Drosophila melanogaster: one gene and its partner. The protein of the gene in region 2 interacts with the protein of the main gene of each other region in a pairwise test. Each region holds a gene or a part of one and is shown on either strand. Other genes may lie near its edges.

What was found. Proteins that work in one complex are often made in the same cells at the same time.
Region 1: the proteins of CG14932 (region 2) and sordd1 interact in a two-hybrid assay, tested with the Drosophila melanogaster proteins (one large-scale study listed by BioGRID).

Annotation. Positions count from the first base shown.
Region 1 is NC_004354.4:15,791,338-15,797,959, forward strand, and holds sordd1 (suppression of retinal degeneration disease 1 upon overexpression 1), read right to left. Parts: upstream 4,692-6,622; 5' UTR 4,665-4,691; exon of another isoform or gene 4,473-4,664; intron 4,239-4,472; exon of another isoform or gene 4,150-4,238; intron 4,080-4,149; exon of another isoform or gene 3,824-4,079; intron 3,765-3,823; 5' UTR 3,726-3,764; coding exon 3,160-3,725; intron 3,097-3,159; coding exon 2,930-3,096; intron 2,865-2,929; coding exon 2,764-2,864; 3' UTR 2,384-2,763; downstream 1-2,383. Other genes in the region: Rhp (rhophilin), read left to right, coding at 1-59, 125-565, 651-807, 873-1,120, 1,181-1,310, 1,375-1,700, 1,755-1,907, 1,972-2,175; sordd2 (suppression of retinal degeneration disease 1 upon overexpression 2), read right to left, coding at 5,916-6,034, 6,100-6,266, 6,330-6,622.
Region 2 is NT_033779.5:11,787,038-11,793,417, reverse strand, and holds CG14932 (uncharacterized protein), read right to left. Parts: upstream 3,500-6,380; 5' UTR 3,415-3,499; coding exon 3,413-3,414; intron 3,360-3,412; coding exon 3,303-3,359; intron 3,243-3,302; coding exon 3,204-3,242; intron 3,147-3,203; coding exon 3,108-3,146; intron 3,049-3,107; coding exon 2,992-3,048; intron 2,936-2,991; coding exon 2,482-2,935; 3' UTR 2,407-2,481; downstream 1-2,406. Other genes in the region: CG14937 (uncharacterized protein), read left to right, coding at 1-787; Tsp33B (tetraspanin 33B), read left to right, coding at 1,115-1,867, 2,043-2,150, 2,206-2,325; CG14931 (uncharacterized protein), read right to left, coding at 4,087-4,584, 4,641-4,765, 4,828-4,876.

The DNA of each region.
Region 1 (6,622 bases), on a different chromosome or scaffold from region 2:
ACAGCGAGGAGCCCTCGATGTACATAGATGCCATAGCTGATATGACGGACACGAGACAGGTAATGCCTCGTACATATATAAGAATTTTATGCACATATAATCCAATGCGAAAAATTTCTAATAGGCATCCAAAACACCGTCACGAGATGCCCTGGGAGTGGCCCTACTTTTCCGCTACTACAACACGCTGTATTACGTGGAGCGTCGCTTCTTTCCGCCGGATCGTAACCTGGGCGTGTACTTCGAGTGGTACGACTCGCTCACGGGAGTTCCCTCGTGCCAGCGGACCATCGCGTTCGAGAAAGCCTGCACCCTGTTCAATCTGGGCGGCATATATACACAGATCGGCGCTCGACACGATCGCACGACGGAACGGGGTCTTGACTTGGCCGTGGATAGTTTTTTACGGGCCGCCGGGGTCTTTCGTCACATCTACGATACGTTCACGAATGCACCATCGATGGACCTGAAGCCACAGGTCCTGGACGTGCTCGTTTCCCTGATGCTTTCCCAGGCACGAGAATGCCTCTTTGAGAAGCTTCAGCTGCAGATCGAGGCGATGAGCGTGAGTTTCCGTCAGCATATATAGTATATAGTATATAGTATATAGTATGTAGTTACATAATTTTACCATCTATATAACCATACAGCACGATTGCCAGGCGTTTCGGGATCTGGCTGGCGAGGCTGCTCAAATATCGCACGAGTACAATGAGATGCACAAGAATATCCAGGCGAACGATACGCACACCTATCTTCCGGAATGCTGGGCCGGTCTAGTGCCAGTCAAGGCGGAACTCTACAAAGGTAGAATTGGTTATCACCTCGAAATGGGAATATTCATTCTAAAGTATGATTGTAAACGCCAACAGCATTCGCACATTTCTACAAGGCACGGAGCATAGATGCGACAGACGAGCTGAAGGCATCAAAGTCAAGTCAAAAGAACCAAGAATCCTTCATCGGCAATTCCCAGGAGGTGGAGCGCATCACCACAGCCGATTATGGAGCCAGCGATGAGGCGTCCACCTCCATTGCCAACAAACTGGCCCACTTAAAGGAGGCGCTGGCCAGTATCGAGGAAGCCCAGCGATTGCAGCGGATGTGTCGGTTCTTGAAGGTAAATATACTTCTTATATCCTATAGCCTAATAACCTAACCTTTAACTTTAATCTTTAAGAACAAGGCATCACTGACTGAAGTCATGAAGGAGGTGCACTCCAAATCGCAGGAGGAGCTCGAGAAGTTCAGACTGCAAGCTTCAGCCAAAAATATCGAAGATGGCGATCTTCTAGAGCGATCGGTAGAAGGTACATATATCATACTCAAGATAAGCCGATGTCTTCATGTACATACATGCATCCATATCCTCAGCATCTTCGAAGTTCACGTTATCCCTGACCGGACCCGACTTCACATCGCACAAGGTTAAGGATCCCTTCAAGCGCCTCGGCCCGATTGCAATATTCTCGGCGAGACGCCACTGGACAGCGCCCAGATGTGTGCGTCTCCAGAAAGGTTCCTCCCTGTATCACAGCGTGCCCAGCAATGACAACAAGTGCCCATTGGATAACGATGATGACGAGGAGCACGATGGTGGATACAATCTGTACAAGGAGGAGTTTGAGAACTTTGGCTTCCATGTGCGCGGCGATGCTCCGGTGATCATTGCCCACGTTGAGATTAATTCTTTGGCAGACGTAAGTAAATGCTACTTCCATCGATTCGTCGTATACTGTAGGCATTATTTTCAGCTTGGCGGCATCAAGGAGGGAGACTTCATAGTCGAGATAGCCGGCGTGGACGTGAAGTGGTACTCCCATCAGCAGGTGGTGCAGCTCATACAATCCTGCGGCTCTACACTCGAGCTGAGAGTGATAACGCCCATGGATCGCAACTACTTGAAGGTGCATTTTGTTTATTAATCATACGTAAAAAATCAGCAAACAAATTCACCTTGTTTACGCACAGCCATTGTCGTCGAAGGGCTCATTATCAACGCTATCGGCGGCCAGTTCATCGGGCATTTCATCCGGATTTCCCAGTCCCACAAGTATTGCGGCCAAGCCCAAGCTCCACCTGAAAACATCCTCTAGTTCGCGACCCGCTGGCAGCGTTTCATCCAGTTCGTGGAATCCGTTTCGGCGAACGCCTAGCTTAGCTAAAATATTTTAAGTAGCCATCAGTTTTATTTTGTGTTTTATTTTTTTGCTCTTAAGGCAATGGCCATTTCAAGTTAAAAAGAATGTTGTGCAGTTTAAGTTAAGCAATAAACTTAATGATTTTTTAAAAGCCCCTCTATTATACCCATAATTTATTTTATTCCTATTGATTCAATCGCTCCCAATCACCCATCGATAATAATCTACACGGAAAATGAATTGAAATAAATGTTTTTAATGTTTTATCGAATTTAAAATATATATTTATACAATTTTTGACATCTACATTTGAATTAAATCATTACGATCCAATGATTTCGAAATTTCAGTTTTTTATGCTGGAGTCGTAGGGTATCGCGGACTTTTTGAAATAGTTTGGGATCCAATCCACTTCTGTTTTGCGAATCCTCAAATTACAATTATAACCGAATGCTAACAATTTATGTTAATTAATCACACCAACGACTATTGCCCAACGAGTTTAAGAATATTGTTGATTTAACTGGAGGATACTGCTATATGATTACTTCGCACGCTTTCCATACACATTTGAACATAGGTTCTTCTTATCGGGGTGATGTCTTTATGCGTTCGCAGATTGCTATGCATAGAACAGCCACAATATCCACACAACGGCCAAATACGAAAACAGCTTGGACAGGGTCTGTTCATCCTCGTATTGCCTTGTTCCCCGATTAGCAGCTAAATACATGGGCAAATGTTATTTAATATCAATCTCAGAACTATTGAGATGGCATGTAACCTACCAGGTGGACGTGGTTCGCCAAAGTTGAGCGTAGATGTTATGAACCCGAAAGGAAAAGCTCCAATACCGAAAGACATGTGAAATCCGTCGCCGAATCCGAATCCAGGGAACCCGGGAACAGGATCTGGTTCTGTACGTTGTCCAGCGGGGCGTGGTGGAACTTTGTTACTGCAAAACACATATAAGTTGGGTTATTGAAAAATACTCATGTTGAAAGCGGTTCAAACCTACCGTGGATCTTCCTGGTGTGTACTATTTCTTCCGTACAGCGGTATGACCTTATCCTTATCAACGGCAGCCTTACAAACGGGACAGAGTTTGCGATTGGGACGCGTCAGGAGCCACTGATGCAGGCACGGCCAGCAGAACAGATGGCCGCACATGCTGACCACAGCATCCTTGGCGGTGTCCAGGCATATGTTGCACTCGTAGAGTGAGTCGTCTGCGGTATGTTCCTTCTCCTTGTCCTTTTCGTTGGCTTTTGTGTCCGTATCGGTGCCGCCGAATGGATAGCCACCCTTCAGATCGGCCTTATTGCCACCAGATAGATAGTCTCCAGTAAAGGAATACGAAGTGTTGGACTTCTTCAGTTCCGATGCCGTCGAATTGGTTGGAATCGAGGTACCCAGCGGGCGCAATTGACTTGTAGATGACTCCTCAGCCAAGGGTTCTGTGATATCCCGAGTCCAGGCTATCTTGTCGTAGCTCACGTTGTTGGACAAAGTCGATGAGGACGACGATGCCCCGGTTGATGTGCTGGGAAGCTCCGCTGTGGGTACACTTTTCGGTTCCTCCATGGTTTGCCCAAGATGCGGGTAAAGTTTTAGTCGTTCAAGCTGCAACGTAACGTTGGATGATTTAGAAACCCAAATTTGCTAAGTAAGTCTGTGTTCACCCTATTGACAAGTGCCTAGATTGCTTAGATGATTTTCCTAGGCCATTTCTGGTGTACAACTAAGGTCCGCACTTTCTTGAATATGACTTAATTTAATTAAATACTTCAAGCGCAGTTTGAAGGGGGTTTCCCCCGAGTTCCGCAGCATTCAGCATTTGTCCGACCCCATGGGGTGGTGTTTATGGCTACGAAAACCGCCCAAAGGGCGTATTTACCACCAAGTCTTCAAGGATAATGCACCGAACATTCCCATTGGCTGCACCCACATAAATTAAACAAAAAAGTCAAATTTTGTTTGAATTGCGTTGGCAAACAAGACGGTATACCTGCATATGTACCTGGACTTATGTGCGTACTTATGTACACATCTACACACTCAAACACTCGCGTGTATATAGGGCTAGAAGGTTTCCATCTACCTGTTACATATGTACATTGGAACCGATTATATGCTTATTTATACAGTACGTATAGATGTCAAAGATGTCACATGATGTTTTCATGGAGCACTTCCTATTGGAGTCAAGGGGAATTATATGCTCATATACATCGAGTTCCAGGGATTGCGTTTAAACGCATTATAACTTAATTAAACTATATATAACTTCCTGGGGCACAGCAAATAGTATAACTTCTCGAAATTACATACATTGTAAGTGTATTGTTTGCAAAACCTGACTTGTTTGCCCTCATTTTATTGTTTGTTTTCGCTCACAGTTTGCTTCTACTTGCCGTGCTAAGTATTGTTAAACCGAATCAGAGAATGTTGCTAAATTGATTGTGTGGACAAGTGTGTTATGTTACGGTAAAATTGGGAATTTATCAATTGACGTCTTAGCACCTCAAAACAACTGCACTGACGATACCTGACCGAGGCCGATAGACCTTTACCCTATCGGTAAATAGCTGCCTGTATAACAGCCCGTCTCCACCGGACCAAAGTCCACGCTCGCGTTCGATAACTATCGAGTTAGGTGAAAAATCTCGGATCTCAATGAATCCTTTGAAAAGTGATCAGTGATCAGTCCTCGATTGATTTGTAAACAAAATAAACTACTAAATACATTTACAAGACTAAATACTATTCATAAGCAGCTGTTGTGTGCCATGGACAATCGATAGCAGGACTCACTCGACTATCTCTAGTTCCTAACGATCTGGTCACAACAAAGGTCAAGAATTCAATAATTTTATTGATATTAGACTAAACCAAAACAAGGAACAGCTGATTTGTACAACGCTAATGCATCTATAAACGTTTAAGTCGTAATCGATAGCTCACCCACTGTGCAGAAATCACGTGACCATCCCTAATTAGAACTGGCTTCTTTCAAAACAAAGCAAACGAAATTTAAAACTTTTTCAATTTATATGTTCCATTGGTGACTCTGGTTGCAGTGAGCTTCTTGGCACGGAGCAGAATCCTTTATCGGCAATTCCCAGGAGGTGGAGCGCATCACCACAGCCAATTATGGAGCCAGTGATGAGGCGTCCCCCTCCATTGCCAACAAACTGGCCCACTTAAAGGAGGCGATCTTCTAGAGCGATCGGTAGAAGGTACATATATCATACATCTCATACTCAAGATAAGCCGATATCTTCATGTACATACATGCATCCATATCCTCAGCATCTTCGAAATTCACGTTATCCCTGATCCCTAAAAAGAATGTTGTGCAGTTTAAGTTAAGCAAAAACTTAATGATTTTTTTCACCCATCGATAATAATCTACACGGAAAATAAATTAAAATAAATGTTTTTAATGTTTTATAGAATTTAAAATATAAATTTATACAATTTTTGAAATCTACATTTGAATTAAATCATTACGATCCAATTATTTCGAAATTTCAGTTTTTTATGCTGAAGTCGTAGGGTATTGCAGACTTTTTGAAATAATTTGGGACCCAATCCACTTCTGTTTTGCGAATCCTCAAATTACAATTATAACCGAATGCTAACAATTTATGTTAATTAATCACACCAACGACTATAGCCCAACGAGTTTAACAATATTGTTGATTTAACTGGAGGATACTGCTATTTGATTACTTCGCACGCTTTCCATTGACATTTGAATATAGGTTCTTCTTATCGGGATGATCCGTGCACTATTGGAACGAGCAGCCCATATATCACAAAAACGACAAAATGCCAGAACAGTTTTGACAGGGCCCAGGGTTCATCTTCGTGTAGCCTTCTAATATCAGCTAAATACATGGGCAAATGTTATTTAATGTCAATCTCAGAACTATTGAGATGGCATGTAACCTACCAGGTGGACGTGGTTCGAAAAAGTTGAGCCTAGATGTTATGAACCCGAAAGGAAAAGCTCCAATACCGAAAGACATGTGAAATCCGTCGCCGAATCCGAATCCAGGGAACCCGGGAACAGGATCTGGTTCTGTACGTTGTCCAGCGGGGCGTGGTGGAACTTTGTTACTGCAAAACACATATAAGTTGGGTTATTGAAAAATACTCATGTTGAAAGCGGTTCAAACCTACCGTGGATCTTCCTGGTGTGTACTATTTCTTCCGTACAGCGGTATGACCTTATCCTTATCAACGGCAGCCTTACAAACGGGACAGAGTTTGCGATTGGGACGCGTCAGGAGCCACTGATGCAGGCACGGCCAGCAGAACAGATGGCCGCACATGCTGACCACAGCATCCTTGGCGGTGTCCAGGCATATGTTGCACTCGTAGAGTGAGTCGTCTGCGGTATGTTCCTTCTCCTTGTCCTTTTCGTTGGCTTTTGTGTCCGTATCGGTGCCGCCGAATGGATAGCCACCCTTCAG
Region 2 (6,380 bases):
CCGGCAGCTGCGACTACGCAAATTTGACATAATGGAGGACTGTGACGAGGTGAACTGCTGTGATCTGGCGGATCTGCAGCTGTGTCCCACACTGGAGCATATCAAGATTGCGGATTACCACGTGTGTATGGAGTCGGATATTACGCAGCAACTACTGACATTGCCAAACCTGCGAAAGCTGTCGATCTATTCCAGGAACTTTGTCTTTGATGTCCTATCGAGGATAGTTAGTCCCACAAGTCCTCCCGGCGATGGCCGACAAATTGAGGCCTTTAGTTTCAGTGGAGTTTTGCACGACTATGGCCGGTTCTTCAGGGAGCTGGGAAATCTTAGTCACTTGACGCGACTGGAGCTGCACAGCCAGCCAGAGGAAGAGGAGGAGAAGGAGGAGGGCGTCCAGGTGCAGTGCCTGGGGGATCAGATACTGCGGCAGCTAGCCAGTCAACTGGGTGAGCTAACCGAACTCCATTTGTGTGGCTATCAGTTGGAGAGTCCTTTGGGCCTGCTGGAATTCGTGATCAATTGTCGACAGCTGAGAGTCCTCGACATCACTCGAACCTTCTGCCATGGAGAATCCTTCGTCTGGAGGTGTATTGCCATTTTGGCCAAGCAAAGCTGGCGCATTCGCCCTCTAGAGCTGTGGATCCGGCATAGCGATATCAATCCGGAAATAGTTCAAAGTTCGCGCTGCGTTGATAACATAAGGCTGATAAAGGTGGATGCAAAACAGATTGGACCCAATACGGACTACACATCTGGCGTACTCAAGTTTAGCTTTGTGCGGTAAACCGCTGCCCCATGAGTGGGATATGCTCCAACTGATCAAGCTCCAAAATGAAAAGGTTTTAAACTGAAATATAGTTAAGTGTATACATTTATCAACTGCTTACCAAATAAAAAGATGTAAATATACATATTTGTAAAGCGATTTTTCAATGCATCATTGTTTTTACTGCCCTTAGGGATAAAAAAAATTAAATTCAAGTTGTAGTACACTTTAAAATTCAAACACCCAAGTCCTTGCAATCAGCGTCAATCCAAATGAAATTCGAGTTCAGAGCTAAAACCTCGTCGACAAGCCAAACTTTGGATCGATGCCCACGAGGATGACCAAATGCGCCAGCCCTTCCGCCGAGCCTCCGTCTACCTCCACCTGCTGTTAATAACCGAGGCCGTGATCGGACTGCTGATCCTGGTGGTGACCGCCTACTACCACACCGTGCTCACCGGCTATCTATCGGATATTGAGTGCCGCCTGGTCTACGGCTATCTGTTTGGGATCTACGTGTTTGGCGCCCAGGTGGTGGTGACCTTTCTCTGCAGCATTGCCATGTGGCGGCGAATTTGGCGGCGTCGCTGCACGCCGAACATTCGCCTCTTGCTATCCGTGTGGGCCTTCTACTCCTGCGTAATCATTGCCTCCGGTTTCGGGTGCGTTTGGAATCTTTACCGGGGTGTCGATGTCCTCGAGAATGCGGCGGACACCTCGCTGACCCGCGGCATCGACATGTACTACTCGTGTCCCGAGTGGAAACTCCTGTGGGACGGACTGCAGTGGCACAAGGAGTGCTGCGGGGTGCATGGCTACAAGGACTGGATGAACGCGGAGTGGATGCCACGGCGGGAGAATAACTGCACGTCGATGGTCCTGGCACCCTTCGCCTGCTGCAAGCGCTCCTGCGACAGCTGCTTTAACAATTTCCTGCCCAGTGAGGGGCAGTCCATCGGTGGCAATAGCCGGCAGCCTTTTCCCGCTCTCACCGTGGACTCAATCAATGCGAACGGATGCTTGCCTGCGTTCGTTAGTGCGGTGTGGAACTGCTTTTACATCCTGATGGCGTTATGGGTCCTGGCCCTTAAGTTTCTGGTAAGTAATTGGTAATGGGCAACGTTTTAAAGTCAGAACAATGGTGAATATTGGAGCCATATTCATTAAATTCTGTCAAATTCATTAGCGTAAGTCATATTGAAATCAAAAAATTTGAATATGCAACAAAATTGTATTTTAAGATAAGACCTCCCTAAGTCAATCATCTTTTTAGATCGTGCTTTGTTGTATGACCAAGTTCATAGTTCACCGGCAGAACGAGGGCGATGGCTGCGATAATGTGGGACTCACGGACGATGATGGACATCCCTTGGTCGTGGTGGTGGGTTTATCCATTTACTATCCATCGATAGCACCTAAATCAGTCCATTCCCCAGAAATATCCGTGTAACGTGCGCTGTGTAACAATTGCCGAGGATGATCTGGTATCCGACAACGTTCCCGATATTAACTACTGCAATTGCACCGAAATGGACGACGAACCGTGTGGATACTAATATTGTGCTTAATTTTACTTTTATATTTTATATTAATTTAATTAAATTTACGAATTTGAGTTAACTTCATATCCAATCGGTGAACGCAATATATTATTTATTGGATATTATAGGATACTTATTACATGGATGTTGTAACATTGGATGTTAAATGGATTAACGGCGCATCCTCTTGGATTTCTTCAAAGTCTGACCCACCAGTTGAGCAATATGTTTGCGCAATGCCAAGAAAGGCTTCAAGCAGACGCGCTGCTCGACGAGACCCACAGCAATGCGGTGAAAGAACTCGGTGACATCCACGGGCTTGGCCAGCAGCTGACCTTGTGATACCGAGCCGTTTTCCTCTGAGGCCTCGGGCGTAGGGCTACGTGCCATTCTACGGATGAATGGTTCCAAGTTGCCCCTGCTACGTTGGGAAACGCGAGCTCCAATGGACTCTGATAGCGCATTATTGGCGCGAGAGAAGGTGAGACGCTCCTGAGATCCCGAGTCGTTTTGATCCGGAGTCTCTGGCTTCTGTATCACCAGTTCGGGTGAGGTGGGGTTTTTCTTTGGAATTTTCGGAAACTCGGTAATTTCGGTAATCTCCAAAGCACTGTGGGGACGTCTTCTGTAGAGAATCCGAACCCGTTATTCCACGTTCTACATTACGAAACTATAACTTACGGTGTACCCGCCTCATAAGTGACATATGGGGACCAGTCTGCCCCATCCAAATCCATACTAAAAGGTTCACAAAATGAAGAAAAATGATTTTGTTTTATAACATTAAATTTACTCACTCATCTTCGTTGGAACAGTCATCATCTTGATCACTTTCCCTGATTATAAGGCAACTTAAAAATAATCTATCAAAACATTATATTAAAAAGACTTACACAGAAGACTCGCAGGTAATCTCGTCACTTTCGGGAGCACTAGAAAGGAAATACATATATTGTCAGTGTTTTTCTGAAGCTAAATTAATGAAGTCTTACGTAGCTTCTTGATATTCATCATCATCGCCCACAATATGAGGAACCTTTGATTGGGACCTGCAATGAATAATCCATCAATATATTTAATGAACTGCTTTAATTTTAATTACATTTTTAACAAATTTTCAACGCCTAGCTCCTGGAAAATGACAATGTGAAAAGCCGTGCGGCCAGTGTGTCCACTCCAAGGAATGTTTAATAAGAACATCAGTGTTGATCAAAATACTGTTGAAAACTTACTGGAGCATATGTAATTAATATATAAAATTCAGTTAAAGCTCAAGTCACGTGTTCTTAACATTTAGTAAAAATAGAAATTTATACTAAAGGTTTTGGTAAATTTGAGCCTTAAAATTTTGGTTAAGTTTAGCCTTAAAATGGCAGTTAAACATAAAAAGTTTAAATTCCTATAAAAAGACGTACCAGTGTTGTACAACAGGCTTAATTTACAAACTTCCAAATACAAATGTAATTATACATATTTATGTAAAGTCAAGCCATCACAATTTAATTCCACCTTTGGAAATGTTTTTATATATTGGGTGTTCGTTTTTATTGAACTTGACATGCTTATGACTAAATAGTTAAGGAAACTGGAATTGGAATAAATACAGCTCGACCAAAAACACAAGCCACAATTATGCAATAAATTCAATCCTTTAATGTGACATATAGTTAACTTATTCGAGTACTCTTTCTTAGACATATGTGGGCTATAAACATTGTAAAATCTCTACTGCATTCGATTGGGAAACATAAACCACAAGACATGGGCGGAAATAGCCTATTCCTGGCTGATTTCATTGGCATCTGAGAAATCCGAGACGGCGACGCTGCTGGTGCTGATTAAATGTCGATCGGGCATTTCGCCGATGGAAGGAAGAGTGGTGCTATCGCTGGCGCTGGACAAAGATATCTCCTCCCAGCTGACGCCGGAGTCGCATTCGTTGCCCGGGGAAACGGGTGTGGCGTCGGCATTGTGCGGCTCATCCTCCGGTGCCTGGCCAATGCTGATAGCCGGCGTTGCTCTGGAACGTTTGCCAACTAGTTCGACGTTTTGATTGCGATCCGCAGCAATGCGCTTGCGATCGGGAATTTGATTGCCCGTGGTGGGACTCCAGTCCATGGCACGGTGCACCAAAGCCCGAAAAGTTATACGGATCGGCTCGCTCGGTGGACTGTCCATGTCTGAGGGATTTCTTCTGGACACTTGCGGCGACATGATCATCGTGGAGTTGTGCAAAGCACTGGGATGCGAAGTCAAAAAATCAGACTCGCTCTCCTGTCGACATTAATGAGAAGCTAATTACTATTTATTGTTTATTGTTAACTGAATACTTTTCCCACGTGCAGAGCCCTTTCTAGATCCTCATCCTGGGGACTGATACTAGCTGATTGCTGCACGACACTTGCTAATTCGGTCATTTCCTCAATATCCATGCCTTCCTCGTAAACGCCTGCGCCTGAGCAAATAGTTAGTTATATATGTATGTATGTTAAGGACGTCTAATTTAGAATATCTTACTTTTGAGGAAGTCAACTAATCTCCTGTTTGTTCGGCTGCGTAACTCCATTTTCAATGGGACAAAAACAACAACTTTAGTACTAATATTATGTGGTTACAATGCATTTGCTCTTGTTCTTGCTGCTAACGGAACTTTTCGCCAAACTGAAATCGTCTATAACGCCATATCGATAGTTAAGATGTGATCTCAAGTAATGGTCACACTTAGAGATGGTGCAACAAGTTTTCGAGTTGTATGTGAAAATATTAAAAACTATTTAAAAAAAAAAAAAAACGATAAGGCTCTGAAAATGTTGTGGTTATTATAAAGTGATATAAGTGATTAAGTTCTATAATGTAACTTGATAAAATTGTATATGTTTTCCTCGTAATTTAAGTCCAGTCTTTTAATTACCTCAACAAAAAGCCTTTAAACTTCGTTTGGTATTACACTTAAAAAACAATTTATGGGTAAAAAGCTGGGCTCCAAAATGGCGAAGTTTTAACACCAGCTCTGCGAAGTTGAAATGCATCGTGAAAAAAGTAAATACTTTGCGAACTTTTTGTGTGGTCAACCTGCTGACCAAAGTTGCAGCTTTCACTACCCACAACGCTGGCAATTGTTTTTCTAATTTAAGTAAAAAAATATGCGTCTCTTTGCATTTCGTTTGCATGCCCAGCCACCTGCGAGTTTTCTGGCCCCCTGAACACGCCCCTTTCACTTTTTACATACATACCTCGGACCCCATCGTTGCATCCCAAAACGAAAAGCGAGTTGAAATTCAACAAAATGTCAAAATGCCACTTGAAGTCAGTTTGCCATTTTCGCTGCCATGGAGCGCCTTTTCGACCCGAAAATTGTTCTTTCTGTGGGGCAGTTTTCAGCTCGACTTTGTCCCCATGGAAAGTCATAATACCCTGAATATTTTGAGATCATACACGGACTGGGGTGCTTCAGAAATATGCAGGCTTATGAAAACCTATTTAATAGCATTCGTAAATTTTTCGTGCCTTAATTTAGATAGGTTAAAAAAAGAATTTACGTTACATGTGTACCTTGTTAAGTTTTTTAAAAAACAAAAATATATAATTTATTATATTCCATATATTTACATATTTTATACAATTTATTTTGGTTTTTCATATTTTTCAAGGTATTTACATTATTTTCTTGTTATATTTTGGGCATAACTTTTTTCCTGATACTATTTTCTATATAACCAAATTATTTTGCTGGTTAAAACCAGCGACACCAAAAATAAAAGCACAAAAAATAGGAAAAGTTTCGATGTCGTCGCGTTGGCGAGCATTGCTTCTTTTGCATAGGAGTCGCCATTGAGTCCCAACTGCATTTGGCTTTACTTTCCCCTCGCCGTCGACCCACCCAAACCTCAGTTTTAGTGGCACGTCAAAGGCAAATAAATAAAAAAAAGAATGAAAAAAAAAAAAATTGAGAATAGAAGAAAAACCTGGACCAAAGCCGTTTGTGTTAGCCCGCATTTTGTACAGTTTTTGGCTGGCATTTAAAGTCCGTTCAATTACCGCGAAACACGTTTGACAGGGCAACAAAAAAT